Sus scrofa: one gene and its partners. The protein of the gene in region 3 purifies or fractionates together with the protein of the main gene of each other region. This does not show direct contact. Links are inferred from orthologs where the notes say so. Each region holds a gene or a part of one and is shown on either strand. Other genes may lie near its edges.

Region 1 (4,393 bases), on a different chromosome or scaffold from region 3:
AGGCACACAATCCTAGGCCCTGCATGTCTACCATTCCTCTGAAATCACTATGCACTTGGTGGCTCCAGAACCTAGTTATCATTCATCAGACCCAGAACAAAACAGCTGGAAAGATCTTAGAACCACAAAGCCTGGTGTCCTCCCCAAATCCTGAGGGAAGGACCCTAGTACCAAAAGCCTACTTGGGGAAAAAAAAGGGAACCTCTTCCACCAAATCCACTCTTCTCAACCCACTCCTTGAGACCTCATCCCTATTCCTCCTCCACAGTCACTGAGCTTCCCTCACTCCTACTCCCTTTAATCTCCTTCACTACACCCCACTCCTCCCTTCCAAACCCCCAACTCCTCCATTCCTTCCTAACCTTATCTCTCCACCCTCCCCCCACCCCACTTCCTCCCCAAACACACAGCCACCCTCCTTATCCCCCCGACCCTCTCTCTTCACCTTGATTTTCCAGCTGATCAGGCAACCTACCTGGCAAGGAAGGGTGTGCAGGGGGGCTAGGGCCCCCAGGTTTGGTCTGAGCACTGTTGATTCCATCCCCCAGAGTCTCTCCCACTGAAGGGCTGGGGGGGCCATTTGGGCTCTGTGGCTGCCCTTGAGGAAGCTCCTCCTCCTGCTCAGGGGAGCCCCTTCTCCCAGTAGCTATGGAGGTGGTCTCCTCCTCTTCAATATGTGGGGACTGCAGGGTTATTGGAGAATCTGGAGCCAAAGGTTCTAGTAGCCCCTCAGGTGAAGAGGGGTTTGCCCCAGCCCCTGGGTTAGGTGGCACCACCTCAGGGGTCTGGCCCCCTGGTCCAGGCTCTAGGGTCTGATCTCCTGCATCCCATGCAAGGGTCCCCTCCGGACCATGGTCCACCTCTGGGGGGGAGGGAGCTTTATAGAGCAGCCCCCCCAGCCCCAGCAGCTCAGTGGCTCCATCCAGGACTCCAGGGTCTTTTTCCAGGCCAGCAGGGGTATCAAGCAGGTCCAGGGCTCCTGAGGATGGAGAAGGGCCAGGGGGCGCCCATCCTCGAGTTGGGGCAGTCTGGGATTCCAGTAGATCCTCTCCAAATTCCATGTCTACTGGAAGGTCTCCAGCCAGGGGCTTCTCTGGCAGGGTCAACGGGTCAAACGGACTGGGGAAATCACTGGGGTCCATGAGGATGACTGGATATGGGCTGCAGATTAGGGGTAGAAGAGGGGGTAGGGGTAGAAGAGGGGGCAGAAGAGGTGGTCTTCGCCAGAATTCCTTCTAATACAGGCTCTGGGACACACCCCATTATCCACTTGGATTTCTCCTGAATCGCCCCCAACACAACCGACAAACCTTTCCAAAGGCTTTAGTCCAAATGACCACTCCCCCCCTCCCAAATACAGCGCCCCCTGTGGGGAGAGGCGTTCCCCGCCCTGGCCCAGTGCCCACACTCGCCGGGCAGGCTGTCGTTCCACTCGCCGCGTACCCCCGCCACCCCACTGCAACTCCCTGATCCCCTCCCCCTTCACCTTTCACTCCCCCCGCCCAACTCGGGCTGAACGCCCCCTTAGAGTCTCCTAGGGCCGTTGCCACCGGGAGCCTTTCCCGCCCCCGCGATTTCAGTTTCTATCCCCTCCCCTCTCTCCTAGAGCCCCCCAGCTCCCCAGTCTTTACCCACCCTGTCTGGCCCCACCCCCACCTCCCCGCGTTGCATGGTCCTCTCAGCCCTTCCCTCGCCCCCACAAACTGCCCTTCCTAACCCCTCCCCCCAGTTACCTTTCAGGGTCGCCCACTTTCTCAGCCCCGTCCCCTTTTCCTAGAGCTCTCCCAGTCCTCCTCCTGTTGCCCACCCCCCACCTCAGGCATTTACAGGAAGACATTTTGGAGCTACGATCTCTCCTTGGACCCCCCCCCCTCCCGGCTACTGCGAGTTCCCGCCTGCAGGTTCGGTTCGGCTTGATCAGGCCCGACCCCTACCTGCGGCAGGGTTAGTGTAACCGCTACAAGCCTAGAACTGCAGACAGCGACGGCCCCGCGCTCCTTCTCCACCTCCCTCCCTAGCAGCCGGGACAGGGGTCGCGGCCCCTTTAAATGGCAGCGCCGCTCACAGCGCCCAGCGCTCTGCACCAGGCGGGCGGGCGGCGCCAGCAACCAACCCCATTGGCTGGCTCGTGGAGGGGGCTCGCGAGACAGCGCCGGCCCCCGGCGCGAGACTCCCAGCCCAGTGGACGCCTGGAAATTGCGGAGTGGAACGTAGGCACTGGAGATGGAGCTTGAGCCCCCGCCCGGGGCCCCGTTAGTTGAGAAGGAAAAGCTAGCCTCTGGAGCTCAGAAGCCCGCCCCCCGGGAAAGGCGGCACCCCCTTTACACCAAAGGGCCGAGTACAATAACCCACAAAAAACAGATCTACGCACCTGCTTCCCTTACCTGGCTCAAGAGTCTGGCCCCCCGTCACACCCGTGCCCGCCCTATCTCCTGGAGCCCACTCTACCCGTGATCCCCTCCTCTCATTCAAATGGTTCCCGGTCCCCTCCCCCTACCCGTGTCTCTCTCCGCTTCCCACTCGTGTTCAACCCCCCGGCGTCCGCCCCCCTCAACAGTCCCTACCTACGCCATGCAGCAGGCGCCTGCCAAGATTACCCTCCCCCCAACCCCACCTCTCCGGGGCCCGCCCCCTGGGCGACTGCTGGGGTAATGAGTGACAGCGGAGGGTGGGGGGAGGCAAAGGACCCAGCCCTCACGTGCCCCTCCTCCCCTTGTCTGCAGCCTCGGGCCCCCCTAACCATTCTGAGACTCATAGTTGTGGGGTGTCTTAAGCCTGGTCTCCAGCTACCCAGGGCGGGTTAAATGGCTCTGGCTCAGTGACAACGCCTATGCAGTAACCGTTACTGCCTGATGACCCCAAAACCAGGTCCTGCAAAGACACTCCCCTACTCCTTCCACGGTCTTAGGGTAAGTTCTGGGATCTTCTCCCTGAGTCTTCCCGCAGGAGCCCCCTGCGTTATCTCTTCTGTAGTTTTCCTCACCAAGGCCGACAGTCCTCCTTCCTCCTTTCTATCTCTTGTCTGTCTGTCTCTCTCTGTCTCTCCTTCCCTCCCTCCCTCTTTTTCTGTCCTTGTCCCTCTCTCCCTCTCCCCGCCTCCTTCTCTGGCGCGCTCTCTCTCTCTCCCGGTCTCTTTTTGTCTCGTCTCTGTCTCTCTGGCTCTCTTATGCACGAGCACGCACGCGCGCGCGCACACACACACTCCCCCTCCTGGATGGTCCTTAGCGTGTGGGTGTGGCTGGGGTTGAGGCTGGAGAAGTGGGGTAGGGGGAGGGGGCATTAGTATTAGGCCTACTGGCTTTAAAAAATGTGTGCCAGGATCCTTTCTCAGTCCCCATCAGAGTTAGGGCACTTTCCAATCCCCCCTCTCCACTTTCCCCCTCTGACCCTTAAGGGCTGAAGAGTATTTGGTGTCTGAGATACTAGAAGAGGCTCAGGCTGGACAAGAGTCCCGCCACATTTTTAGAAATACACGTAGGTTTGTTGTCCAGTGCTTGCTCTGGCGTGCCTCTTGCTCTGGGCCTTTCTTCTTTCCCATACTAAGCCTTTCCTAGCCTTATAGTCCTTGGGAGTTTTATCCTCCCTTGTCTCATTCACTTTCCCAGAAACCTTATCCTTCCTGTTCCCCCCATGGCCTTGAGGTTATCTTTGCTCTCTCCCATATACAGAGATAAAAGCAAGAGTTTTCCCATTCAGGTTTTCCAAGCCCAGCCTTTTCTTTACCTTAACCAGTATTCTGTGTACCCATCTCCCACCTTCTGGTTATTTCTGTGTCCTTTTACCTCCTTTTGGATTTTCACTTTGTTGCATCACAGTTGGGCCGCCTCGTTCTTTTGTATTGCCTGCCCTTCTCAACACATGCTTGGATCTCTGGCTTCTCTGGTGGTGGAGAATGCCTGGTTTCAAGTTGAGGGGAGACAGTCTAAAGGGGGCATTGATGGTGTGTATTCAGAGGCAATGTGTGTGAGCTCTGGAGACCAGGATTCTAATCTCCACTCTGCCTGCTTTTTAGCCATTTGATTTTGGATACATCACTTGTCAAGTCACTAGGTCTTATTTTTCTCATCTTTAAAACAGAGATAAGAAAACAATCTAAATGTACGGTAGGAGGTTGGGCAAATCAATTTTGGTTATATTCATACAGTGGATGTAGTCATTAACAACAATATTTTTTAAAAAGCTAATGAGGCAGAGCAGAGGAATTTCTGGGCAGTGAAACTATTCTGTATGATACTATAGTAATGAACACATGTTATGATACATTTGTCAGAACTCATAGAATGTAGGATACCAAAAGTGAACTCTTCCCTAAACTATGAGCTTTGAATGATAATGATGTATCAATGTAGGTCCACCAATTGCAACAAATGTACCACACTGGTGGGGGATATTG
Region 2 (3,725 bases), on a different chromosome or scaffold from region 3:
GGGAAGAGGATGTGCTTTTAACCCTTGCACCGCCCAGCCCTCAGGACCCGAGGGCTTGTGTAATTCGCACAATAACTCATTGTTACCTAGGATTACCTAGGAGTTAATCAAAATAAACAACTAGCTTTGAATTTGGTCTCAGGGTGCAGGCTCTGCCCTGCAGATACATTCATGAGACTGGGTCGAGTGTACCTCCCAGTCCCTTTTAAGGCCCCAGCTCCAACATCCTGCTCTTTTTGTTATTCCCTTTCCATGACAGGTTCCCTTTTTTTTTTCTTTCCACAACAGGTTTTTTTTTTTTTTTTAATTTCAAAATGAAACTATTTTCCTTAAATGCAAATAAGATGTCACACTTCTTTTCCTCTTGAACCCGCTTTTTTGTGTTTGGGGTGGAATCAACCCCCCGCCCCCACCCCCACCCTCCACCCCATCTGATTTTTTAGCTATGCATGACTCATACCATTTATTCCTACAGAGAAAAGCAAGCTGTATTACCTTATAAAACAACATCTTTCAAAAACATTTTTATAAACATACAAATCTAAATTTCATAACAAGATCCCCACTATAAAAGTTGGCTTGAACAAGTAACTGGAAGGTGGCAGTGGTGGTGGGGGTGGTATCACTGAATTTTAGCAACAATGCTGTGCATTTTTCTCTAAATCTAGGAGAAAAACAAGTAGAAATTATATATGTATGTACATATATAATATACCATGCATATATAAAAATATACCATGTTTAAATACACATACAAATGCATATATAACATGCATGAGGATAACTCTAGAGTAGCTCTAAAATGGACTCCTTTTGGTTCTGGCCTCTGCAGAAGATGTATGCCATGGGATCAATTCAGAGTCCTAAAAGAGGCCATGGGAATGAATGTCCAGCAATAAAATGGGCCCTGAACACACAGAGGTATGCAGTCAGCAGCTACTGTGGAGCCACACAAGACCCTGGGAGGAGACCCACAGGGATGAGCAGCTATGAGCCCCACACCTTCAGTCAGGAGAGAAAGAAAAAGGCGGGGGGAGCCACTGGGGGCTGAGTGGACTGGGGAAGCAGGTGACAAGTGAGTAATGGAACAATACATAGGCAGGTGCCAATGTATTTTGGAAGCAACTCCTTTCCATACTTAAAAAGTAAGGGTAATTTCTAGAAACTCTCTTCTCTACACACATGGACATTTGTAGAAGAAATAATGCTCAACTTACAAATACCCTGCGGGGCATATTCTGCACTCATCCCGGGCGTGGGGATTAGAGCTCCATGTGCAGAACGAGGGGAGGAGAGGCCCCTCCAGTGCAGAAGTTTATCTGTGAAAGAAACCCACAATCAAGCACTAAAGCTATAAACAATGAGCATCATAAACCACAGGATATCACATTTCAATTCCATTAAAATAGATTAACATCATTACAACAGCCTTGCAGATAGTTCACAGGCCCAAGGCCTGCATCAAAAGAACAGTGGTGAGTTATTTCCCACAGTTCTGTTTTGTTTTTATTTTTAGGCTCTATCCGAGGCATGTGGAAGCTCCCAGACCAGGGATTGAACCCACACCACAGCTACAGCAGTGACAATGCTGGACCTTCACTCACGAAGCCACCAGAGAACTCTTTTAACTTTGGTCTGTTTTTTTGTTTGTTTGTTTGTTTGTTTTTAAATGGCTGCTCCCACAACATATGGAAGTTCCCAGGCCAGGGACTGAAACGAAGCCTCAGCTGTGACCTATGCCACAGCTGCAGCAATGCAGGATCCTTTAACTCCCTGCACCAAGCTGGGGATTGAACCCACACCTCCACAGCAAGTCGAGCCACTGCAGTTGGATTCTTAACCCGCTGCACCACTACAGAAACTCCTTAATTTTGGTCTTTTTTTGACAAAAGAGAAGATTTTTGTTTTAGGTATGGGGTGGGTTCTTTGGTTCATTTGTTTGTCTTGTCTGATTATTGTCTGATAATAAGAGATGTGTAAATAGCAAGGGGAAAACTTGGTAACATGATTGGCAGGTTGGCAAAATGGGGGGATTTATCTGCAAGGCTGGTTTAACATGCATACATTTACTCTAGAGACAAGCTCAAGCAGAAACAATAAGCTCACAGGAAATGAGTGATTTATGAATCATTTCTTCCAGAACCATGTCCCACTGCCCCCCATGCTGTATTTATGACAGCACCTTCAATGACAAGGAAACTTTGGGCATCTCAAGGTTGGACCACGCTCTAGAATTTACTCGTGGAGTACCCACTATAGACATGGCTTCTTACAACACGAAGCAGTGGACAATAAAGATTAGATTTCTGGGGTCAAAGTAACTTTGGCCAAGTCTTCATCTTCAGGATAAGGAATCCTATCATTCAAAGACAAGGAGATAACCAGCATTCCAAAAATAGCAGCACCCGGAAAAAGTGGCCCTGCTCCTCTATTCTACAGCACTGGGTTGCACTCTGGTGAGGAAAAATGACTTCTCCCACTAATAAACATAAATCTAGCAGTAAATCAAGCATTTCTAACATTGAGATTTTTGTGAAAAAGGAAATATTTGGTTTGTGCAACCTGGGGATTATATGGTTTATGTGGTGAGTGCCTAGCTTTTCCAAGTCCACCTTGAGCTAACCAAGCATGCAGAGGTCAACCTGGAGACAGAGTGGAGGATAGATGGAGTGCGGACACTCCACGTATCCTAGAGGCTTGGAGTTTGTAATGACTGGGGGAGGCAGGAGAGAAGAAAAACAGACTTTGATGGTGAGTAAACAGAGTGTGTTTTCCATTAGCTTAATATTAAGAGCACTTAGAAGAGCTGTTGTTATGCTCTAGGATAGCAGGTCTCAAGTGTAAAATACATCCTGTTCCCCTTCTATAGATCACACTGCCAAGAACAGCCAGGGCAGCCGGCACAAAGTTTCCTTTCATGAGGAGCCTGGTGGGTAACAATGGCGTTGCTCGTGGAAGCTCTCACACGGAGGCATAAATCTGTTGTTCTGGGCCTGCCCAGGAGGCCGCCTCGCCCAAGACCATCTACAGAGGCATGTCCTCCTCCCTGACCCCAAACACAACAAATACCACAAAATGACCCAGCAAAAGTGGCAAGGCTGGACTTAAAAAACATTTGACTGCTTACATTCTATGAATTGAGAGGAGAGGGTAAAATTAACTACAGATTTAGTCATAGCGCTTTTCAACGAGAAATCTGAGAATCCATTTTCGCACTTGTTCTCGCCTCAGCTATTTAAGAAGTGTGTCGCCAAGACTGAAATCCTTTTCTTAGGAGACCTCCACAACTGGGTACTGTGACCTCAGCATCAAAGCCCAAGGTACTCTGCCCCTCCCACGGGGAGAGTCTCATTTCAAATTCCCTGCCACTTACTCCAGGAAGAGACCCTGAGGTGCCTGGAGTAGGCCTCCAGCAAGAAACGGGAGAACAGTTAACCTAGCCAGGCCTGACCATTTGCATGTATCTCCCACTGGCAAACCCCTCAACTAAACCACTGGCCTGGAGCAAGCTAAGCTTCTGGGGGCAGCAGCCTGGCCCAGTTCTCCACAGCCCTAGACCACCGGGCAAAGCAAAGGCTCTTGAAGAAGAGTGAGTATCTGAGTATCCAGTCATGATTTGATTTCGGTTTTGGTTTTTGAGTATTCAAAAACCTTAGAGATCATCAAGTCTAATGTCTTCGTTTCACAGATGAGGAAATAGGCCTTGAGAAATTAAGTGACTGGCC
Region 3 (3,725 bases):
CTGGGACCCCATTACAAAACAATCTGGAAGAGTTGTTTCACCTGCTCAATTTTCTCACCCCTGAGAGGTTCCAGTAAGTGTGTTTTGATCCATAATCGGCTCATAATTCTTTTGTTTCTTTCTTTTGCCCATTTCCTGTATCACTTTTCTTTCTCCACATCAACAATTTTTTCTTTTCTTCGGAAGCAATTTGGAAGGCTTCTTGGAGGAGTTTGCTGACATTGCCAAGGAGGACCAGATTAAAAAACTCCATGACATGCTGGGGCCTCATATGTTGCGGCGGCTCAAAGCGGATGTGTTCAAGAACATGCCATCCAAGACAGAGCTAATCGTGCGTGTGGAGCTGAGCCCTATGCAGAAGTGAGTCTGAAGGGACAGAAACATTGGCTCTATTTTGCAGACATAGTTAAGACCTCAGCCGGCCTGCACAGCGTTGCCTCGTTCTCTCCGTACCCTGCTTCAAGGCATATGGGGACGGAAGCAAGCAGCCTAAAGAAACCCCTCCCCAAGGAGCTGGGGCCCAGAGTGCTTTCACTGTTTCTTGTTACTTATTTATGTATTTATTTTAATTTTTCTTTTTTGGCCGCGCTGAGGCATACCGAGTTCCCAAGCCAGGGATCAGAACTGAGCCACAGTTGCGGCTGAAGCTGCACCTGCCGAAACACCAAGTCCTTAACCTGTTGTGCTGGGCCAGGGATTGAACCTGCCTCCCAGCACTCCCAAGATGCTGCTGATCCCGTTGCGCCACAGTGGGAACTCTTCCTTACCTTATTTAAAATGATGAGGGTGGTGGTGTTTCTTAGGTTTTCTCAGTCCCAAAATGAGTGATGTTGGAAGGAAGGTCTCTGGCCTTGGGACTGCATTATGAGTCATTGAAGTCATCGAGTGTGACTTCTCTTGTTTTTTTTTTTTTTCACGTGTAGGAAATACTACAAGTATATCCTCACTCGAAATTTTGAAGCGCTCAATGCTCGAGGTGGTGGCAACCAGGTCTCTCTGCTCAATGTGGTCATGGATCTTAAGAAGTGCTGCAACCACCCGTATCTCTTCCCCGTGGCTGCAATGGTATGTTGTGCTGCCTCTTGATCCTCCTTGGGAACTGCTTCATTTGGGGTATCTTTCAATATATTTTTTTTCTTCTTTGCTTCTTTCCTCAGGAAGCCCCTAAGATGCCTAATGGCATGTATGATGGCAGTGCCCTAATTAGAGCATCTGGGAAATTATTGCTGCTACAGAAGATGCTCAAGAACCTTAAGGAGGGTGGGCACCGTGTGCTCATCTTCTCCCAGGTATTGCGTGGGCTTGGCTGGAATTTAGAGGGTGGCAGAGGACAGCTTGGCGACACAGGGAGGGATTATCCTGTGACTCGCCTGTGATAAATTGTGCTCCTTTGCCAGATGACCAAGATGCTGGATCTGCTGGAGGATTTCTTGGAACATGAAGGTTATAAATACGAACGTATTGATGGCGGAATCACTGGGAATATGCGTCAAGAGGCCATCGATCGCTTCAATGGTAAGAGGGAAGGAATGGTTTCATCCTGGCAGCCCCATTCACCAGTGGCCCTTGACTGGTCTCTTGTTCTTCCTGGGCATCTGCCTTTTTATTTAGTGGTTTGGGCTCTTTGTCAGTTGACTGAAAGAGTATTTTTGAAATTTTTTGTTTTGTTTTGTTTTTTTAGGGCCAAACCTGTGGTATATGGAGGTTCCCAGGCTAGGGGTCAAATCGGAGCTGTAGCCGCCTGCCTACACCAGAGCCACAGCAACACAGGATCTGAGCCACGTCTACGATCTACACCACCGATCACAGCAACGCCAGATCCTTAATCCACTGAGCAAGGCCAGGGATCGAACCTGCATTCTCATGGATGCTAGTTAGATTCATTAACCATTGAGCCACGACAGGAACTCCTTGAATGTTTTGATTGGAAGAATGTATTGGATTGTTCCTTGCAGATTATTTTCCCTTTAGAGTCTTCATTCTTTCTGCACTTCCTTTAATCCCCTTCATTGCATCTTGAGGCCTGGGTGGGCCTCAAGCCCAGACTGTGAGTTATTGGCAGATTTATCTCAGTAGCCACTACCACCTCCTCTTTTTTTTCTCACTTTTTAATTCGAAAGGATTTTGAACTTAAAATTCAAAAAATAGTGCAGAGACTTCATGTGTACCCTCTGCCAAGCTTTGCTTCATCATGACTTCTATTACCACAATTGAGTTGTCAAAACCAGGGTGTTAATGCTGGATTCATACTCAATTAAATGGCAGACTTGAATCAAACATCACCTGTTTCCTGTGTCAGGATCCAGTTTCTTTTTTTCTTTCTTTTTTTTGTTTTTGTTTTTTCTAGGGCCACACCCATGGCATATGGAGGTTCCCAGGCTAGGGGTCTAATCGGAGCTGTAATCTCTGGCCTACACCACAGCCACAGCAACACAGGTTCCAAGCCAAGTCTGCAACCTACACCACAGCTTATGGCAGTGTGGGATCCTTAACCCACTGAGCGATGCCAGGGATCAGATCTTTGTCCTCATGGATGCTAGTCAGATTCATTTCTGCTGAGCCACAGCAGGAACTCCGCATTCTTTTCTTCATGAGTTGATGCATTTGATGATGACTGGTCAGCTCTTTTGTAGAAAGTTTCTTAAGTTTAGCTTTGTCTGATGTGTTCTCATGATTAGACTGATGTTAGATATCTTGAGCAGGGATTCCACAGAAGCAGTACTGGATCTTTTTCATCCCTGGTGAGGGTGTCATGTTGATAAAGTCCCATTGCTGGTGTTAACCTTGATCACTTAGTTAAGGTGGTGTCTGCTGCATTTTTCTACTGTAAATTTACTTTTTTTTTTTCATTGTACCTGATAAATAGCCCGAGGGAGATATTTGAGACTATGGTCATGTGTTTTACCTTAAACTTTCACACTGATTTCAGCATCCATCAGTAATCTTGCTTATTACTTTGATGTTTGTCTAATGGTTTTTTTTTTTTTTTTTTTTCCACTTTTTAGGGCTGTACCTGTGGCATATGGAGGTTCCCAGGCTAGGGGTCAAATTGGAGTTGTAGCTGCTGGCCTACACCAGAGCCACAGCAACCCAGGATCCGAGCAGAGTCTGCCACCTACACCACAGCTCACTGCAGCACTGGATCTTTGACCCACTGAGCAAGGCCAGGAATCGAACCTGCAACCTTGTGGGTCCTAGTTGGATTCGTTTCTACTGTGCCATGACGGGAACTCCCTAATGGACGTCAGTGTTTCTATTATTTCTTCTACATTTATTAATTGGAAGTCAGGAGACACCTCTAATGGCGTTTTTGGTTCCTTTCTTAGCACCGGGTGCTCAGCAGTTCTGTTTCTTGCTTTCCACTCGAGCTGGAGGCCTTGGAATCAATCTGGCCACTGCTGATACAGTTATCATCTATGACTCTGACTGGAATCCTCATAATGACATCCAGGTGAGCAGAGGTGGCAGCTTTAGTGTACAGTGATTTATTGGAAATGCAGTGTTCTATGTAAGAGTCCCACCAGCTGGAATATGTTGTTTCAGGGGGAAACAATACATTCTATTCTTTTTGGTCTTTTTAGGGCCAAACCCACGGCACATGGAGGTTCCCAGGCTATGGCTCAAATCGGAGCTGCAGCTGCTGGCCTACACCATAGCCACAGCAGTGCGGGATCTGAACCATGTCTGTGACCTACACCATGGGTCACCTCAGTGCTGGATCCCTA
Region 4 (4,228 bases), on a different chromosome or scaffold from region 3:
GTAAATTGTGTACAAAACCTTAAGCTTCTCTGATCCCAATGAGAATGAGTACACATTAAATTTGAGCACGTAACATCCCCCAAAGACAATAATAAAATTATTTGAAGACTGAAATACTGTTACTAAGGTAGTTAATAGTAACTACTAATACACAAAAACTGCTTTCAGAAGTTCCTGTGTGGTGCATGGGGTTAAGGATCTGACATTACAACTGTGGCTCAGGTTCAATCCCTGGCCCAGGAATGCTGAGGGTATAGCCAAAAACAAAACTGCTTTCAACATTAAAACTATTTCTGTACATGTTTTAGCTTTCTGGCAACAAAATTAAAACATGTAAGAAATCTAAGCTCCCTCATAAGTGTAAAACTGAATTCCAGAAAGTTTAACTGATTTGCCTGAGAGGTAATAATGGGGGGAGGGGGAAATATCCAGTTCTCTTAACTCCTCCTAAGCCAAGGATCTTTCTACTGCTAACACTCCCCAGTTAAAGCCTCACAGTTAAAAGATTAATCTTTAGTATTAGAATAACTAGCTACCTTGGAGTTTCTTGTTTCTAACAGCAGTTCCATTCATAATAACAAGGTCCCACACCATGTAAAACCCTCTGGAGACATAATCACGGAAAAGGTGTGTTTAAATTCTCTACCAAAGGAATAGCAAATACCATCAAGTTTTCCTGTGGCATAAGCACTGGGAAACACAAAAAGGTCAATTGCATCTTCCTTCTTAAATCTTCTTCAGCCAACATGAAAATGTTACTAATGCCTACCTACTTGAAATCAAATCTACAACTGTTTTAGATACTAATTCTGTGGCCAAATCATCCCGGATAGACATTAACTCAAAGGAACTGTTACCTTGGTACATGCTGATCTTAATGAACCCGTTATTTCTAACACCTCAAGGCAAGAAGTGTCCTTCAATTCCAATTCCTATGAATAATTATTCCTAAAAACTTATTTCTTACATTTCTATTTGCCAATAATATTTTTGAGGTATATAATTCCCTAAATTAACTAATCACTGCTTTTTTTTTTTGGCCTCAACTGAGGCATGTGGAAGTTCCTAGGCCAGGTATTGAACCTACACCACAGCAGTGACTTATCTTTATCCCACTGAGCCACCAGCGAACTCCCCTTATGTCACTTCTGGCAGTTCTGCACTTAATTTTAGTTTTAAGTCCATGTAATAGTATAAATATTCAGGCTTTATCCAAAAAAAAAAAAAAAGCAAGCAACGTTTTTTTTTTTTTTTTTTTTTTTTTTTTTTTTTTTTTTTTTTTTTTTTTTGGCTATTCTTTGGCCGCTCCGCGCATATGGAGGTTCCAGGCTAGGGTCGAATCGGAGCTGCAGCCACCGCCTACGCCAGAGCCACAGCAACGCGGATCCGAGCCGTGTCTGCAACCTACACCACAGCTCACGCAACGCCAGATCGTTAACCCACTGAGCAAGGCAGGACCGAACCCGCAACCTCATGGTTCCTAGTCGGATTCGTTAACCACTGCGCCACGACGGGAACTCCCAAGCAACGTTTTTGATTCTTACTACAATTAGAACAGTTATCTACATGGTGAGGGAACAAGTACATAGCTATGTAAAATAAGAATACTTTCAGCGCCTATGAAGTATGTTTCCTAAGGGATGAATTTATTCTGCAGCACTGGTTTAAACTGTGCTAATACTAGCTTTTGTGAAAGCAACACGTTATGAAAAATAAAATCACCTAAATCTTACACAAGAATTAAAAAAAGGATCTGATATGCGAATGTGATACTACTAAAAAACCCACATAATTTTTGCAAGTTTAGGAAAAAACTTGAATGCTTCAGAACCTAGCAAATAATAAGCACTATAATACCTACTTAATAAAAAGCATACAGGCACGCATTTTTTTTGGTCAACGTTTGGATGATCTGTAAAATGCATGCCAGAATACCCTGAAAGTCAAACTTTATTGTCTTAGGAAGTTACAACAATAGTATATGTAATTCTCATAATTTAATATTTTTCCCAAGGGCAGTTTGGGAATTTCCAATTACCGCTAGTGGTTGCTGTAATTACGTTCTTGTAAAGATTCAAATACAGTATGTTAGTATCTACCACATCAAGAGGTAGGAAAAGCCATTTAATTTAACCTAGTGGCCAAATTCCTTACTACTCCTGCTACTGATTTAATACGACCCTGGCAATCCACACTCTCATGCTGCGGTTTCTATCTGAGAAAGACAGTAATACCTACCTCAAGCAAGCTCCACTAACTTATATATTTCAAGTGATTTGTAACCTGTAGATAAAAAGCCAGCTTTCATTATTACTGTTAATATGTAAATGAGATTACAATTTAAAAAATAGAATTGAAAATAACTACGTCGAAGTCCATCATTTGCTCAGGGAGGAGTGAAACAAAAACTAACCGGTAAAATATTAAACCTATTGTTATATTTATTACTATACCCTGTGGTACGCTCCAGAATTTAGAGGCTTGCGGTACAATAAATATCTGCTTGATAACCCTTCCCATCCCCCGCTCAATTTTTAAATTTACAGGACTATACTAATGAGCATTTCGATCTTCCCTTTCATGATCTCTCTTAGAGACCTCATGGTCATAGAAAATGAAAGGACAGCAGCCGTTAACACAGGAGAGCGAGAAGAAGAAAAAGGACATTCTCCCTGCCGATCCTGGCCTAGAGGACATTAGGTTAAAAATCCACGCAAGGGCTGAGGCCTATAAAACTCTCTTGCATAAGATCTAATCCCCCCGTGCAAATAGAATAAACGGGGGCCTGCTTACTCTACCGAGAGGAGGGTTCCCCCGTCTTCTCCCACACCCCCTCGCGCTCCCCAAGGAACCCAGCGACTCCCCTGCTTCCACCCCCTCCACTTACCAGGAGGGGGGAGGGAGAAGAGATTCGATTCTGAATCTCCTACTCCCGGGTTCTACGTGGAGAAGCGGACTGCTGCTCGAGGTCGGCAACACCGCCGCAACCGCTCAGTCTTCGCCTCTTCACAAAATGGCCCCCGAGTCTCCTCTGCCGCCGAGGCGAAGGCCTAGTCCCCGCCCCACTTCTAGGACTCTTCCTATTGGCTGAGCTTTTTCTCGCTCCCGCTTCTAATTAGACAGTTCTACCGCTCTTCACAATTCTGTCCAATCACAATCAGTGGTGGGTTAGACTAAGCAAGAGAATTTCCACATGCGTGAGCGAAATTAGTTTGTAACTGGTTATTTTTCCTGTCATTTATCACCTGAGAAATGCTTATTGGCCACTGTAACTGACGAAGCGGTAGGTGGAAACCTGCCTTTGTACCGCGCACCACTTCATATCCGGGTATCCGGGAGGTTGTGATTGGCGGCTACGGGATCCTATCACTGCTCCTTAGAGAACCTGGTAGAAGGCCCGCCGGGATCTCGGAATTCCGGCGGCGCGGGGGCGGGGAAGGATTGCGGGATTTTGTTTGGTAGCGGCTCAAAGGATGTGCCCTAGCTCCGGGCCTAGGTAAAGGGAAGCAGGAATCTCCGAATGAATCCTCTATACTGCTGTGTGGATAAAGAAAACACTTTTCTTAGAATTGGGAGGGAGCACCAAGGACTAGAAAAGTAACCAATCCTGCAAAACTCCAACCTTAGAGCTCCCATTTGGACAACACTTAACCTGTCAAGCCCTTCTTTAGACAACCTGTATCTCACCCAAAACAGCTGACTTCCTTATTCCTCTCCACTGCAAAAGGTAAAGAAAGTCTAAAATGTTGGCCTGAAGTATTACAGCACCCATCCTCTGGCCCCAAATCATTTCACGAATACCCTACATGCCAACCAGAATTGGCTTGCCCATCTAATCCTACCCCCTGCTCGTCCCCCAAATCTGCTCCCTTCTTCCCCTCATCTGAAATAGCTAGTCTCCCACCTTCTGGCTCCAGGCATCGCCTGCCAGTCCCGCTGGTTATATTATAGCAGCCATGCACACAGTGGGATAGGTCCAGCTATGCTAGGAATGAAGGATATTTCTCTGTACAGTTAGAGAAAGCAAGATGCAGAATACTATCTAGATAATGTGATACCATCTGTATACATCTTATGGAATATATGTATATGTGAATACAGTTTTATGCATTAATTTTGAATTATGTCTGAATTCCAGAGAGATTCACAAGGAAATTACTTGTTACCTATCAAATGGAAAAAAAAAAAAAAAAGGCCATTTAGTAACAAGTTGAATGTCATTTACTTA
Region 5 (3,725 bases), on a different chromosome or scaffold from region 3:
GTGGTGGCTCGGGGGTCTGGGGCCTCAGGGGGTACAGTTTATCATAGTGCTCTCGGTACTGTTTGGCAAATCTCTCTAGCTGTTTAAAGGGAAAGTAATTCTGATGAACATGCTCTTGATGACTCTTTAAAATCAGGATGTTAGAAAACAACTTGCCACAGGCCTCACACTCGAGCTTTTCCAGATTCTCCCCCTGCTCAGTCTTCCCGTTCTTTTTCTGCACCTTCTGCTTGTTCTCGTTGTACTGAATGACCAGCTCAAAGCCAAAGTTCTCCAGCAAGGCCTTGGTGGCATTCCCTCTGGCATCTGAGGCAATGCGTGGAGGGAGCATGGAAGGCTCAGAACTACCCCCTGGGGCCAATTCTTTCTTTTCTTTGGCCTTCAAGGCATCTGGCAGTGATTCCTTTGGTCCCGAGTTGCCCTCTCCCCCCTCGGCACTGTCCCTCTCTCTCTGGATCTCCTTTTCCTTTTCTTTGATGACTGATTTGTTTTTCTTTTCAGTGTGCTGGCTGGGCTGAAGGAGGGCAGAGTGACTTTGGGAGAGAGAGAGCTGGCTTTGCTGCTGCTGCTGCTGTTGCTGCTGCTGCAGGATCTGCTGATGGCCCTGCTGTGGGATCTGAACCTGAGCCTTCAGGTCTTCCAGCAGGCCTGGGCCGGTCCCAGTCAGCGTCAGCGCCCCGCTAGTCACCGGCAGGCTCACCTCAGGGTTGAGCTGGAATTCGGCGCTGGGGATGTAGAAGGGGAAGAGGAGATGCTGCTGCTGCTGCAGCTGCAGCAGGGTCTCAGTGGTCATGGGGAAGTGAGGAAGGAGGGCGGGGTTAAACAGATGGGACTGGATCAGGGCCGCCTGCTGCTGCAGCTCCTGCTGCAGATGAGCTTGAACTTGAGCCTGGGCCTGGGCCAGTGTCTGTGCTTGTTGTTGCTGCTGCTGTTGTTGCTGTTGCTGCTGCTGCTGTTGCTGCTGCTGCTGCTGCTGCCTGGATGCAATCATATCTGCCAGCTTCTTCCGATTGGCCTCCTTGGGCTCAGAAGGGGAAGCAATGTTGGCACCTACGGGATTCCCCAGGGGCGGCATTCCCACACTTTCAGTGGGCACTTGGCTCAGTAAATTGGAGCTTGGAGCGATGCCAGCACTGCTTGGATTGGCGGTGGTAAAGGTGTTACTGCCACTGGTACTCACAGGACTTGGGGTGGAAGAGCTCAGGGAGACACTGCTGCTGTTCCCAGTGCCGTTGCTACTGCCACTGGCAGCCTCCAGCTTGGCTGCCCGGGCCTTGGTCTGATGCAGCACAGACCGCATGTGGATCTCCAAAGTGGAGCTCTGGCTGTAGGCCACGTTACAGGTGTTGCACTTGAAAGGCTTGTTGTCAGGGCTGCTGGTGGGTTCTGGCTGACCCGTTGCTGACTCTTGAAGGGCTCTCTTTAACTTATGCAGGTGGGAGACAGAATTGTAGTGCACCAGCAGGATGTTCTTTTGTGTGAACGATTCCTTGCAGACGGTACACTTGTAGGGGCGAGAAGGGTCTAGAAATTTTTCCATGGTGAAGTTGGGGCCTTTTCGGAAAGGTAGAGCTCTCTTGGGCTCTGAGCCCGAGTCTTCTTGTATTGAGCCAGAATCGCTCCCCGTTGGGCTCTGTTTATCCTCCAGGTCACTCTCTTCCTCCTTGTCTTCCTCAACAATTATGGTATGGTCCTCGGCCAGCGTGGGGTCTCCCATTGCCAGGAGGTCCCCATTGGCCAGAAGGCCACCATAAAGCTGCTGGATGTCAGCCTCACTCAACTCCAGGTGGCTCGTCTCAAGGTGTTTTTTCAGAGCCTGGAAAGTTCGGAAACTGCGCTGACAGAGACAGCACATAGTGGCAGCTCTGATCACGTGGTACTGAGAATGGAGCTGCAGCTTTTCCACAGTCTTGAAAGCCAGGCTGCACTGGTTGCAGCGGTACTTGTACACATGGCGATCAGACACGGGCAGCTGAGGCCTCTTGGCATGAACCTCATTGAAGTGCGTCTGGAGGGTGGCAGAAGTTTTGAAAACCTGGTTGCACCCCTTCTTCCAGCACAGGAAGCCTGAATCTTCTTTCACAGAGCCTGGGTCAGCAGGCGAGGGTTTCAAATCTCCACTGTGTTCTGTGCTCGCAGAGGGTAAGATGTTCTTTCCCAGATCCTCTGAGGTTTCTGGTTAAAAAAAAAAAAAAAAGTCAAACCCAATGATAAAGAAGGCTTTGTTTTAAGGATGGCACCCAGAGCTGTCTACCCAGCAAGGCCTCACGAACACGGTCTCACAATGAGGGAAATAGCCACCCTGCACACAATCTCTCCAAGGGCCCCAACCCCCGAGAGCACAGGTTATAAGCAGGTGCATATGATCAGAGGGGAAGGAAAGGACATGCAGGAAGTTTCGACTTCTAGGAGACCATACCGTAGCACAGATTTGTCTTTTAAATACTTGCTGGACTCAGAATCCTCAATTTTTCAAGAACTGGTTTGAAGCACACCCCCTGACATGGATCTGAATTGTAGACTATATGAATTAATGCTATCCTAAGATGGGGGGAGTCTGCAAGAATGTCTACCCACTGTAATAGAAGACATTTTGGAATATATTTTTAGGCACTGAATTTCTTGTTATGACTTCTGACTGTCATCTCTAATAAATACACAATGAATATTCAAGTGGCCAATTATTAAAATACATTAAAACTTTTGCTACAGTGAGATTACCACACCTATAAATATTCTCTGACCCTTTTTCAGATCAGCTGTCCACTGTCTAATGTGGAGAACTCACAAGGGTGGAGTCGGGGCGATACGGTATTAGCCCTTCCCAATTTCTAGCTCAGCTGGTGACAAGAAGTCAGAGATGTAGGAGACACTTGTGAACAGGGGTGTAAGGACTCGCCCAGCTAGGACCCACCATGGGGTGCCACCCGCAGCATCTATGTCTACAAGCGAGTTCTTTCCCAATGCACCTCTCTGCGGCATCCTAAGGCAGTCCTGGAGGTCTCCAAGGAGAACGCTGTGCAGGGACAGCTCCTAGAAAGGCAGCTAATCCACTTCCCTGAGAGCACCTGAGATCACCAGTCCCTCCCGAGTAACTAAGTCCTCCGAGAGGGAGTATTTAACAGGTTATGATGCTAAGTCATGGGTCTCCTGACTGAGATTCTGATTAAAACTCCCTCAGTGTACAGTCGAAGGGGCGTGTGTCCATCAAAAAGCCCACTGTTCTCACCTGATTTTTTTCTCACTTCAAGCCATATGAGGAATACACAAATCACGCCAAGAATCAGAGTCTCAAGTAGCTGACACAACAGTGCCCCTTATCCCTTGAGCAGTTACATTCGGCTTAGGAGTACTGTAAAGAATTCTTGGCACCACTGCTTTTGACCCTGGGTTTCATTTTGTTTCTGTTCTCAGGAGTCAAAAATAATGACACTAACCGGGCTGCTTGGCTGCCTCCTCCACACTGGAGTTCCCGTCTCGATCTGGAACCGCCGTTGGGAGGAACATGCTGCTGGGCATCACCATCTCAGGGGTAGTCACCTGAAGAGCAGGAGGCAGAGAAGCGAGCAGAGTCAAATGGAGAGGAAAGAGACACAAAATGGGGAGATCTGTAAAAATTATTTAATAAGCAAAATTAGCCTTCACCAGTGTGAAGCTGGAGGTGTCACTTTTCATAGCTCACTGAAGACTCATGTTTATTAGACAAAGCTCACATCAGTCAAAAG
Region 6 (3,725 bases), on a different chromosome or scaffold from region 3:
GCAGCATATGAAGGTTCCTAGGCTAGGGGTCTAATCGGAGCTACAGCTGCTAGCCTACGCCACAGCCATAGCAATGCCAGATCCAAGCCGCATCTGCAGCCTACACCACAGCTCACAGCAACGCCAGATCCTTAACCCACTGAGCAAGGCCAGGGATTGAACCTGCAACCTCAGTGGGGATCCTTAACCCACTGAGCAAGACCAGGGATTGAACCTGGATTCGTTTCTGCTGCACCACGATGGGAACTCCTCTACTCTATATTTTATTACGTGAAAATTTAAATGTTTGAAATGACCAGTTAAAGCATTGATCTCTATAACCAGAATGTATGTGTGAAATATAACTCAAACTCACCAGGCTGATTGCAGCATCATCTTCAGGACCGGAATATTTGAATTGGATACGATGTCTTTTCATATCTGCAAAGTATTCTTTAGCTTCTTTTGATGTGCTGGTACCCAAACCTACAAAAGCAAGAAAAGCAAGCTATTCCATATAATCTTGCGCCATGGTATATAACAAAACGAGACGCTCTATGAGTTTCATTACAAACCTTTGTAGTATTTGACTTTCCATTTTTTATGATTTGGTGTAGAACTCTTCCATTCTTCAAATTCAGGAAGGCTATAGAAAGCCATTTCTTGCTTGTTTTTAGATACCTAAGGTACAAAACATATTGCTGTGGGTTTCTATACTGCTGGGGTCCCTGCATACCACCATATACCACTGGGGTTATATGTGTATCTAGGGTTGAGGAGCAGGGCCTTAAAATATCCATTATGTAATCTTAGAAGTTAGTATACCTTTACAATGGGAGTGATAAATTCCTCCAGGAAACGATGTCGCAGAAGAGAGGGCCAGTTATGATGGATAAAGTTAATCAGCAAGCCTTTGATATGGGAACCGTCTTGGTCCTGAAATATTTGGAAAGCCAAAATACAAAAGAATTGCTTAGAAACTAAAATAAATAAATAAATAAAATTACGAAGGATGTACAGATAATTTGTCAAAATTTTTTCTATCGGTATTTAAAAAAATGGCTATCAAATTCAGACACACTTAAACTGTACATTTAATATACACGTAATATAAACATAATATATCTGATTAGATATGAATTAAAGGTAATGAATACAGCTTCAGGTTAATTATTTTCTTTCAGGGCAGGAAAGTAATGCAATAATAAGACAGGTTTAATTTAATCATCTTAAACAAATCTGACCTGATCTGTCATAATCATTATCTTCCCATAACGTAGAGTCTTCAATGAATCTTCATCTTCATAGTTTTTCTTGTATTGAAGACCCACAATCTTGATTATGTTGTTAATTTCAGCATTTTCCATTATCTGAAATGGATATACAGCAAAAAAAAAAAAAAAAAAAAAAAAGGTAATATTTTGTTTATAAACTCTAAAAAAAGAGAGAAATAAAATAGTATATGTTGCTTGGGTTTTCTTGAACTCTAATATTTTGTTATTAGCCTATACTTCAGTAAGTCAGAAAGATCTGTTAAGATATGCTACAATGTACCTAATTTCCTAAAATAACAACTAAGATATATTTCAGAACACTCAATGAGAGAATGAAATATGAGCATGAAGTCCTGCATTACAGAACTAGATTGAGATTCTAAAGATAGTTTTTTTATATTCTACCTGTTTATGAGAAGCTTCTCGAACATTGAGTATTTTTCCCCTAAGAGGGAAAACTCCGTATTTGTCTCTCCCAACCACACCAAGGCCTGAAACTGCCAAAGTTTTGGCTGAGTCTCCCTCTGTCAGGATAAGCGTACACTCAGTGGAATTTCGGCCCCCTAAAATAAACAAATTGATATTAACACATTTAGTTCAACCTCGAATACACTAACTCAGATACGTGATAAAACGAAAATAATTTATAATTCATAACAAATTGGCTTGGGGTAAAATGGAGCTAAGTAATTAGATACATATTTTAGCTAAAATTCTTAATAAAGCCTTAGTTTCTTAGATAAATCTCTCACGACAATTATCTTGCTGCTAAACACTGGTTTGATTATATTACGTTATTAGTGTTATATTTTTGTTTTTTAGGGCTGCATATGGAAGTTCTCAGGCTAGGGGTTGAATCAGAGCTGCAGCTGCCAGCCTATGCCTCAGCCACACAGGATCTAAGCCACATCTGCATCCTACACCACAGCTCACAGCAACGCTGGATACTTAACCCACTGAGCTGGGCCAGGGATTGAACCCACATCCTCATGGATACCAGTTGGGTTCATTCCCACTGTGCCACAACGGGAAGTCTTACATTTAATATTTTTGTTGATGATGGGGTTTAGGACATGCCACCCTCATGTAGGAGGTAACCTCCTTATACCACAAAGAAAGGGACATTCTAATCCAAGATTGAGGGTCAAGAATCTGAATCTTAGCCTTGCTAATTTTCCCTAAGTTTATTCTATTTCGCTTATAATCTTTGTCCTATCATATATTTCCACAACTTTCCATTCTTTGTCGAAGCTAGCATAAAACACTTAGGTTTAACCATTTCTTTAGGTCTTCATTTCTTTATAAATGTTCTGGTGTCACATGAAACTATACTTAATAAATTCACTTGCTTTTTTCAGTTTAATTTTCAGAGACAACCAGGAACCTAAGATGGTCGAGATGACTTTTTTTCTCTTCTACATTAAGTAATAGATCACTGTATTCTAAACATTCTTGTTTTATTTTTTTCTTTTTTGGCTGTCCCGCACTGGCATATGGAGTTCCCAGGCCAGGGATCAGATCCGAGCCACAGTTGAAACCTGTGGCTACAGCAATGCCGGATCCTTTAGCCCACTGTGCCCACAGGAAGCTGAACCCTCATCCTGGCGCTACAGAGATGCCGCCTATCCTGTTGTGTTACAGTGGAAACTCCTAACATTCTTGTTTTATACCCCCAAAATAATCATCTCAACATTATTTATAACAGCTAAAGAGTGAACATGACTTAAATGTTCATTAACAGGGGATTGGTTGCTTTTTAACAAAGTACAAATATTCTTCTGGATATTAATTGTCAAGGGAAGATACCACAGTACACTGTTAATGAGTAAAACAAATAACTGAACTAAGAGATTTAAAGTTTAGAAACATTATTAAATTTATACCTGCATCATTGGCATCATCAAGTTTGGGAATTCCTTTGATTCTGTTATGTTTTACAGCTGAACATTTCTTGTTTAACTGGACTTGGGCCTTAAATTTCACCCAGTTTAGGATGCTTTCTACAATACCACAGCCAATTGCCTGAAAATGAGAAAATTCATCTTAGGGAAGAGTTTTATCAGAAATTGAGACTACAAATGAGCCCCCATAAAAATAAAAATACTTTAAAGATGAAAAGAAGTAGAAAAATAATGGCTAGAGGGTGGCACTTCGTCCTGTCTTAGGTTATCACCACTGATGGAACGGGTTCCTTTGCGTTTATTCACTCAGCAAATATTTACTGACTACATACTTATATTGTGCCAGATACTGAGCTACATGTTTGAGATCTTGTAACAAATTAAACATGGTTCTTGTTCTCTAGGTGTTTAGTATACAAGGAGGAAGACAGAGAAAATAAAAAGTTACAAGCATGATAAGTATTATGGGTAAGTGAAAAGCATGTTATATTTAGTGAGGTGTGTCCAGTGTTGTACTGGGACAAACTTAGTTAGGGGAAGGAGTAGAAATAGAAGGCAAATGACATTTAAG
Region 7 (4,455 bases), on a different chromosome or scaffold from region 3:
CAAGGGGTGGCCAAAAATGACCTGTTTTATACTGCTATATTTGCTAAAGACCTTACATCTCTGTAAGACCTCTCCTACTTGTACATATTAGGAGAAAAATATTCTATACAGTTACTTCCCAATTTTTGGTATCAAAAACTTGGGCTGGGAGTTTACTTGTGGCATGGTAGGTTAAGAATCCAGTGTTGTCTCTGCAGTGGCTCGGGTCCCTGCTGTGGCATGGATTCAATCCCCGGGCCCAGGAATTTTCACATACTGCAGGCACAGCCACAAAAACAAAAACAAAGAAACAAAACAACCCTTGGGCTATTCCTGTAGTTTCTGGCATCATCTATTCCGCTGCCTGACAATTCTATTTATCAAAGGCTTTAAAAACATGCATTCTATTTACTCTAGCAGTGTTATTACCCAAGAATTAATCCTGACCACAAGACAAACACCTACACAAAAGGACATTTGCTACAACGTGGCTTAATCCCAAATCATTGGAAACCAACCTCCAAGAGAAGATTGGTAAAAAGCTATGTTACATATTCAGTACAGAATTACATTCAGCTATCAATTATACTGATATTTATTAGAAGTTGGTGTCCTCCAAAAGGGCAAGTCATTACAGTACATACAAGACCATAGGCTCAGAGTTGGATGAGTAAATGTGAAACTCACCTCTGTCAGTTATTACTGTGTGACCCTGAGCAAATCTTTTAATCTTTCTGAGACTTTTTTCTTCCCTATAAGATAGATAATACTACACATCTTATTAAGTTGTTGAAAAGTTAAGAGATAATACTTAAAAAGGGCCTAGCTTGGAATTCCCACTGTGGCACCATTGCGCAGCCTCTTAGGAGTGCTGGGACACAGGTTTGACCTCAGCCTGCCACAGCGGGTCAAGGATCCAGTGTTACCCCAGCTATGGCTGGGATCTGATCCCTGGCCCAGGGAACTCCATATGCCTGAGGGGCAGCCAAAAAAGAAAAAAAGAGAGCTTAGCATCTGACCCTACCCTCCACAGATCAGCTTTTGCCACATAAAAAAGATTTTTGAGGGAGTTCCTGTCCTGGCACAGCAGAAAGAAATCCCACAGCAGAAAGAAATCCCACGTGAGGATGCAGGTTTGATCCCTGGCCTCGCTCAGTGGGTGGGGGATCCGGCCTTGCTGTGGCGTAGGTCAAAGACACGGTTCGGATCCTGAGTTGCTGTGCCTGTGGTGCAGGCTGGCAGCTGGAGCTGATTCAATCCCTAGCCTGGGAACCTCCATATGCCATGGGCGTGGCCCTAAAAAGCAAAAAAAGTAAAAAAAGTAAAATAAAAAAAGATTTTTGATTCTGAAAGGCCCAATTTCATCCAGCCTACTGCGGAAAGGCTCGATCTACCACAAAGAACAAGTCCATCCTCCTAGTCAAAGACCAAGACCACCAAGATTACCATTCCACTCTACCCTCTCTCAAGGTGTTTTTGCATGTAGTCATGCCAGCTTTCCTTGAGATGTAGATTACAAACCTTTCACATTCCTGGTCATCACCCTTTACCTGTACTTGGAACATCCTAAGTTACCGTAACTAAGATAAGAGCATTCATTCACTGATGCTTCCTGAGCACAAAGCACTGGTATTGCCACTTAGTATATATCTTGCTACTGAAAATCACAAAACTCCTACAAAGCAACGAAAACTTTTTTTTTGGTTGCGGCCACTGCATGTAGAAGTTCCCTGGCCAGGGATCAAACCCTCACCACAGCAGGAACCCAAGTAGCTGCAGAGACAGTGTCGGATCCTTAACATGCCGCACCAAGAGAACTCCAAAAATCCTATTAAGTGCATGATGACATCGCCACAGAAGTCAGATTCAGAGAGGCTAGGCAAGCTGCCCGGGATCATACATTTTTTTAAGCAGAGGCTGTTCCCAAACTTAGACTTGTCTGATGCCAGAAGTTAAGAGTCAAGCTCACAGCTATGCCTCGAAGAGCTATGATGCTCAAGCCTACCTCAGTATAACTAGAAGCAGAACCCTGCCTGCCTCTACTCTCGTTCCCTTTCTTACTAAGGAAAATCCCAGCCTTCATTATTTCTAAAGCAATTTCATTTGTGTTTCAAATTTGAGAGTTAAGGTCCAAGTCACGCTTGGCATCAGCTAAGATAAAGCACAAAGAAGGAACCAGGAGCCTCCAATGCCTCTGGTGGGACACAGCGCTCCCTTCTCGCAACATTGTCAGCCACGTGACCTAGGCCACGCGGGTCCCACGCTGCTGCTGCCGCCGCCGCCGCCTCACCTCTCACCAAAAAAAGCAACAAGGCTTGTCGCTGAGTAGTAAGACTTCGTGGAAGAGATGCCGGCATTCCAGGGTTTCTCTGGACACTGCCGAGAGCTCGGCACAAAGGCCCAAAACACTGGGCTGGAGGACCCCACAGACCTCCTTACCTGCAAACCTAAGCATGTCAGGGCCCAGAGCCCTGTGGTCATCCCCCCTTATGTCCCAAACCCGGAACTCACAACGCCTGTTGCCTTGGCGAACTTATTGGCCACGTCCGAGAGCTGGTTATCACGCAGAAAGCCGAGCACGAGAGGATACAGGTCGCTAGGAACCACGCGGCGCAAGCCGGCGTCCGCCATCCTCCGGACAATACGCGTCACTACCGTCGCGGACGCACACGACTCAGGAACCCGGAACAGGAGGGGCTGAGACGGGCCAGTGTGATGCCTCCGCGCTGCGCGGGACACAGCGGAAGGGGCGGGCACACGCCGCAGGGCCTTCCCGCTCCCGCCTTGGAGGCTGGGTAAAGGCGAAATCTATGAACTCTTTCCGGTCCCACGAGTGTCGCCATCTTGGTTAGGGCGGAGCCCGCCCTTCGGCTACTTTGTGGAGGCGGAGCCCTGACGTCAAGGGGTCACGCCCTAGAGATGTGGCGGGAAAACTCCGGAGTTCTCGCGCCCAGCCTTTCTAAGCCTTTCAGCCGCAGCCACATTTCCTGGGGTGGTGGTTACCTGCGCCCCTGACTTGTGGATGCCAGGGTAAGGAGTGGGCTGGGGAGACCGAGCTGACTTTGAACTCCCTTTAGCTTGGTCACATGACTTCCCATACTGCTTCTATCGGTGCTGCCAGTGGATTCCCACCCTTCATCTTCACTGTCTCCGACACCCTGGGAGGCCCTTTCTCAGGGTATCACACCAACCTCTGCACTCCCATCTCCATTACAGGATTCTTCAGATTATCCGTTGTAGTGATGAGGTGCTGATCTTCAAAACTGCCCCTTCCAAAATTACGACTTGCCCTTGAGACAGCCTTTCTTCTTTTACTTATACAGCCTTAAGTCAGTTCCATGAAGGGAAAAGCGGTTTTGCACCAAATCTGAGTGACAGCAGCAATCTCTTCAAATCTAGAACCCTGAAAATGACCCTTCCACTTTCACACCCGGTACTCTCCCTGGGGGAAAACTAGAAAACCCTTCAACTGGAGTTCCCTCAAGGCTCAGCAGGTTAAGGATTCCTTGTCACTAGTGTGGCTCTGTGACTGCTGTGGCAAGAGTTGAAGCCCTAGCCTGATAAGTCCTGCATGCCTTGGGCACAGGCAAAACCAAAAACAAAACAAGGAGTTCCTGCTGTGGCACAGGGGGTTTAAGGATCTGAGTTAGGATCTGGTGTTGCCACAGCTGTAGCATAGGTTACAGCTGCAGCTTGGATTCAATCTCTGACCAGAGAACTTCCATATTCCATGGGTGTGGCCATTAAAATAAAAACAAAAAAACGCAATCCCTGTCATGAGTACTCAAATATCAATCAGTGCCCAGGCCTGCCAAATAAATTCTATCACGTTTCAGTTCACATTAGACAGCAATCCTTTCAGTCCTATCCACTACCTCTCGATTACTTCCCATTCACGCCCTTCAGGAAAGTAAGGCTCCACTTTCTAAAGGGACACACCTTTCCTTTGCCTTCATCAAAACAGGCACTCCCCTGTCCTTGGTATAATTCCTCTTCCCCAAAGATCTATCTTCCCGCATGCATTCTTTAAACACCTGAGCACTTGCTGAACACCAAGCATTGTGTGTGGCTCAAGCTAATAAGGTCTGTGTACACACAAGCTTCGGTTTAGAAAACCTTTATTTGGAATATGTGTGGGGGTACTTTGATATTAAAATTACTTCCTGGACCAGTAGCACCAGCATACTCTTGATGGAAATGCAGAGATCAGACCCCCTACCCCATAAGTCAGAATCTGCATTTTTTTTGTTGTTGTTTTGGGGGCCACACCAGCAGCCCCTGGAAGTTCCTGGGTCAGGGATTGAACCCATGCAACAGCAGCAACCTGAGCCACTGCAGTGACAATGCCAGATCCTTAACCCACTGAACCACCAGTAAACTCCCAGAACCTGCCTTTTAAAAAGCTCTCCAGATGATTCAAATGCCCTTTTAGTTTGAGAAGCACTGCCCTAGATGACTGATTTTACCAACAACACC

The links.
Region 1: the proteins of CHD4 (region 3) and ZMYM3 purify together in Homo sapiens (affinity purification with mass spectrometry; 3 studies listed by BioGRID, with this or other methods). This does not show direct contact. The link is inferred for Sus scrofa from reciprocal best matches to the Homo sapiens genes CHD4 and ZMYM3.
Region 2: the proteins of CHD4 (region 3) and BCL11A purify together in Homo sapiens (affinity purification with mass spectrometry; 5 studies listed by BioGRID, with this or other methods). This does not show direct contact. The link is inferred for Sus scrofa from reciprocal best matches to the Homo sapiens genes CHD4 and BCL11A.
Region 4: the proteins of CHD4 (region 3) and HNRNPC purify together in Homo sapiens (affinity purification with western blotting; 3 studies listed by BioGRID, with this or other methods). This does not show direct contact. The link is inferred for Sus scrofa from reciprocal best matches to the Homo sapiens genes CHD4 and HNRNPC.
Region 5: the proteins of CHD4 (region 3) and ZFHX3 purify together in Homo sapiens (affinity purification with mass spectrometry, with the first as the bait; 3 studies listed by BioGRID). This does not show direct contact. The link is inferred for Sus scrofa from reciprocal best matches to the Homo sapiens genes CHD4 and ZFHX3.
Region 6: the proteins of CHD4 (region 3) and TOP2A purify together in Homo sapiens (affinity purification with mass spectrometry; 3 studies listed by BioGRID and IntAct, with this or other methods). This does not show direct contact. The link is inferred for Sus scrofa from reciprocal best matches to the Homo sapiens genes CHD4 and TOP2A.
Region 7: the proteins of CHD4 (region 3) and NOLC1 purify together in Homo sapiens (affinity purification with mass spectrometry, with the first as the bait; 3 studies listed by BioGRID). This does not show direct contact. The link is inferred for Sus scrofa from reciprocal best matches to the Homo sapiens genes CHD4 and NOLC1.

Annotation. Positions count from the first base shown.
Region 1 is NC_010461.5:57,276,416-57,280,808, forward strand, and holds the start of ZMYM3 (zinc finger MYM-type protein 3), read right to left. Parts: upstream 3,013-4,393; 5' UTR 2,984-3,012; intron 2,625-2,983; exon of another isoform or gene 2,565-2,624; intron 2,518-2,564; exon of another isoform or gene 2,385-2,517; intron 2,370-2,384; exon of another isoform or gene 1,935-2,369; intron 1,162-1,934; 5' UTR 1,143-1,161; coding exon 476-1,142; intron 1-475. UniProt on the Homo sapiens protein: Plays a role in the regulation of cell morphology and cytoskeletal organization.
Region 2 is NC_010445.4:81,277,743-81,281,467, reverse strand, and holds part of BCL11A (B-cell lymphoma/leukemia 11A), read right to left. Parts: intron 1,320-3,725; coding exon 1,218-1,319; intron 1-1,217. UniProt on the Homo sapiens protein: Transcription factor. Associated with the BAF SWI/SNF chromatin remodeling complex. Binds to the 5'-TGACCA-3' sequence motif in regulatory regions of target genes, including a distal promoter of the HBG1 hemoglobin subunit gamma-1 gene.
Region 3 is NC_010447.5:64,085,125-64,088,849, forward strand, and holds part of CHD4 (chromodomain-helicase-DNA-binding protein 4), read left to right. Parts: coding exon 1-73; intron 74-186; coding exon 187-360; intron 361-923; coding exon 924-1,065; intron 1,066-1,157; coding exon 1,158-1,289; intron 1,290-1,397; coding exon 1,398-1,515; intron 1,516-3,326; coding exon 3,327-3,451; intron 3,452-3,725. UniProt on the Homo sapiens protein: ATP-dependent chromatin-remodeling factor that binds and distorts nucleosomal DNA. Acts as a component of the histone deacetylase NuRD complex which participates in the remodeling of chromatin.
Region 4 is NC_010449.5:77,919,933-77,924,160, reverse strand, and holds the start of HNRNPC (heterogeneous nuclear ribonucleoproteins C1/C2), read right to left. Parts: upstream 3,017-4,228; 5' UTR 2,888-3,016; intron 2,284-2,887; exon of another isoform or gene 2,239-2,283; intron 1-2,238. UniProt on the Homo sapiens protein: Binds pre-mRNA and nucleates the assembly of 40S hnRNP particles. Interacts with poly-U tracts in the 3'-UTR or 5'-UTR of mRNA and modulates the stability and the level of translation of bound mRNA molecules. Single HNRNPC tetramers bind 230-240 nucleotides.
Region 5 is NC_010448.4:15,707,133-15,710,857, forward strand, and holds part of ZFHX3 (zinc finger homeobox protein 3), read right to left. Parts: exon of another isoform or gene 3,541-3,725; coding exon 3,438-3,540; exon of another isoform or gene 3,415-3,437; intron 2,176-3,414; coding exon 1-2,175.
Region 6 is NC_010454.4:22,007,651-22,011,375, reverse strand, and holds part of TOP2A (DNA topoisomerase 2-alpha), read right to left. Parts: intron 3,276-3,725; coding exon 3,137-3,275; intron 1,817-3,136; coding exon 1,659-1,816; intron 1,350-1,658; coding exon 1,224-1,349; intron 916-1,223; coding exon 805-915; intron 661-804; coding exon 555-660; intron 466-554; coding exon 356-465; intron 1-355. UniProt on the Homo sapiens protein: Key decatenating enzyme that alters DNA topology by binding to two double-stranded DNA molecules, generating a double-stranded break in one of the strands, passing the intact strand through the broken strand, and religating the broken strand.
Region 7 is NC_010456.5:113,152,984-113,157,438, reverse strand, and holds the start of NOLC1 (nucleolar and coiled-body phosphoprotein 1), read right to left. Parts: upstream 2,821-4,455; 5' UTR 2,611-2,820; coding exon 2,491-2,610; intron 1-2,490. UniProt on the Homo sapiens protein: Nucleolar protein that acts as a regulator of RNA polymerase I by connecting RNA polymerase I with enzymes responsible for ribosomal processing and modification.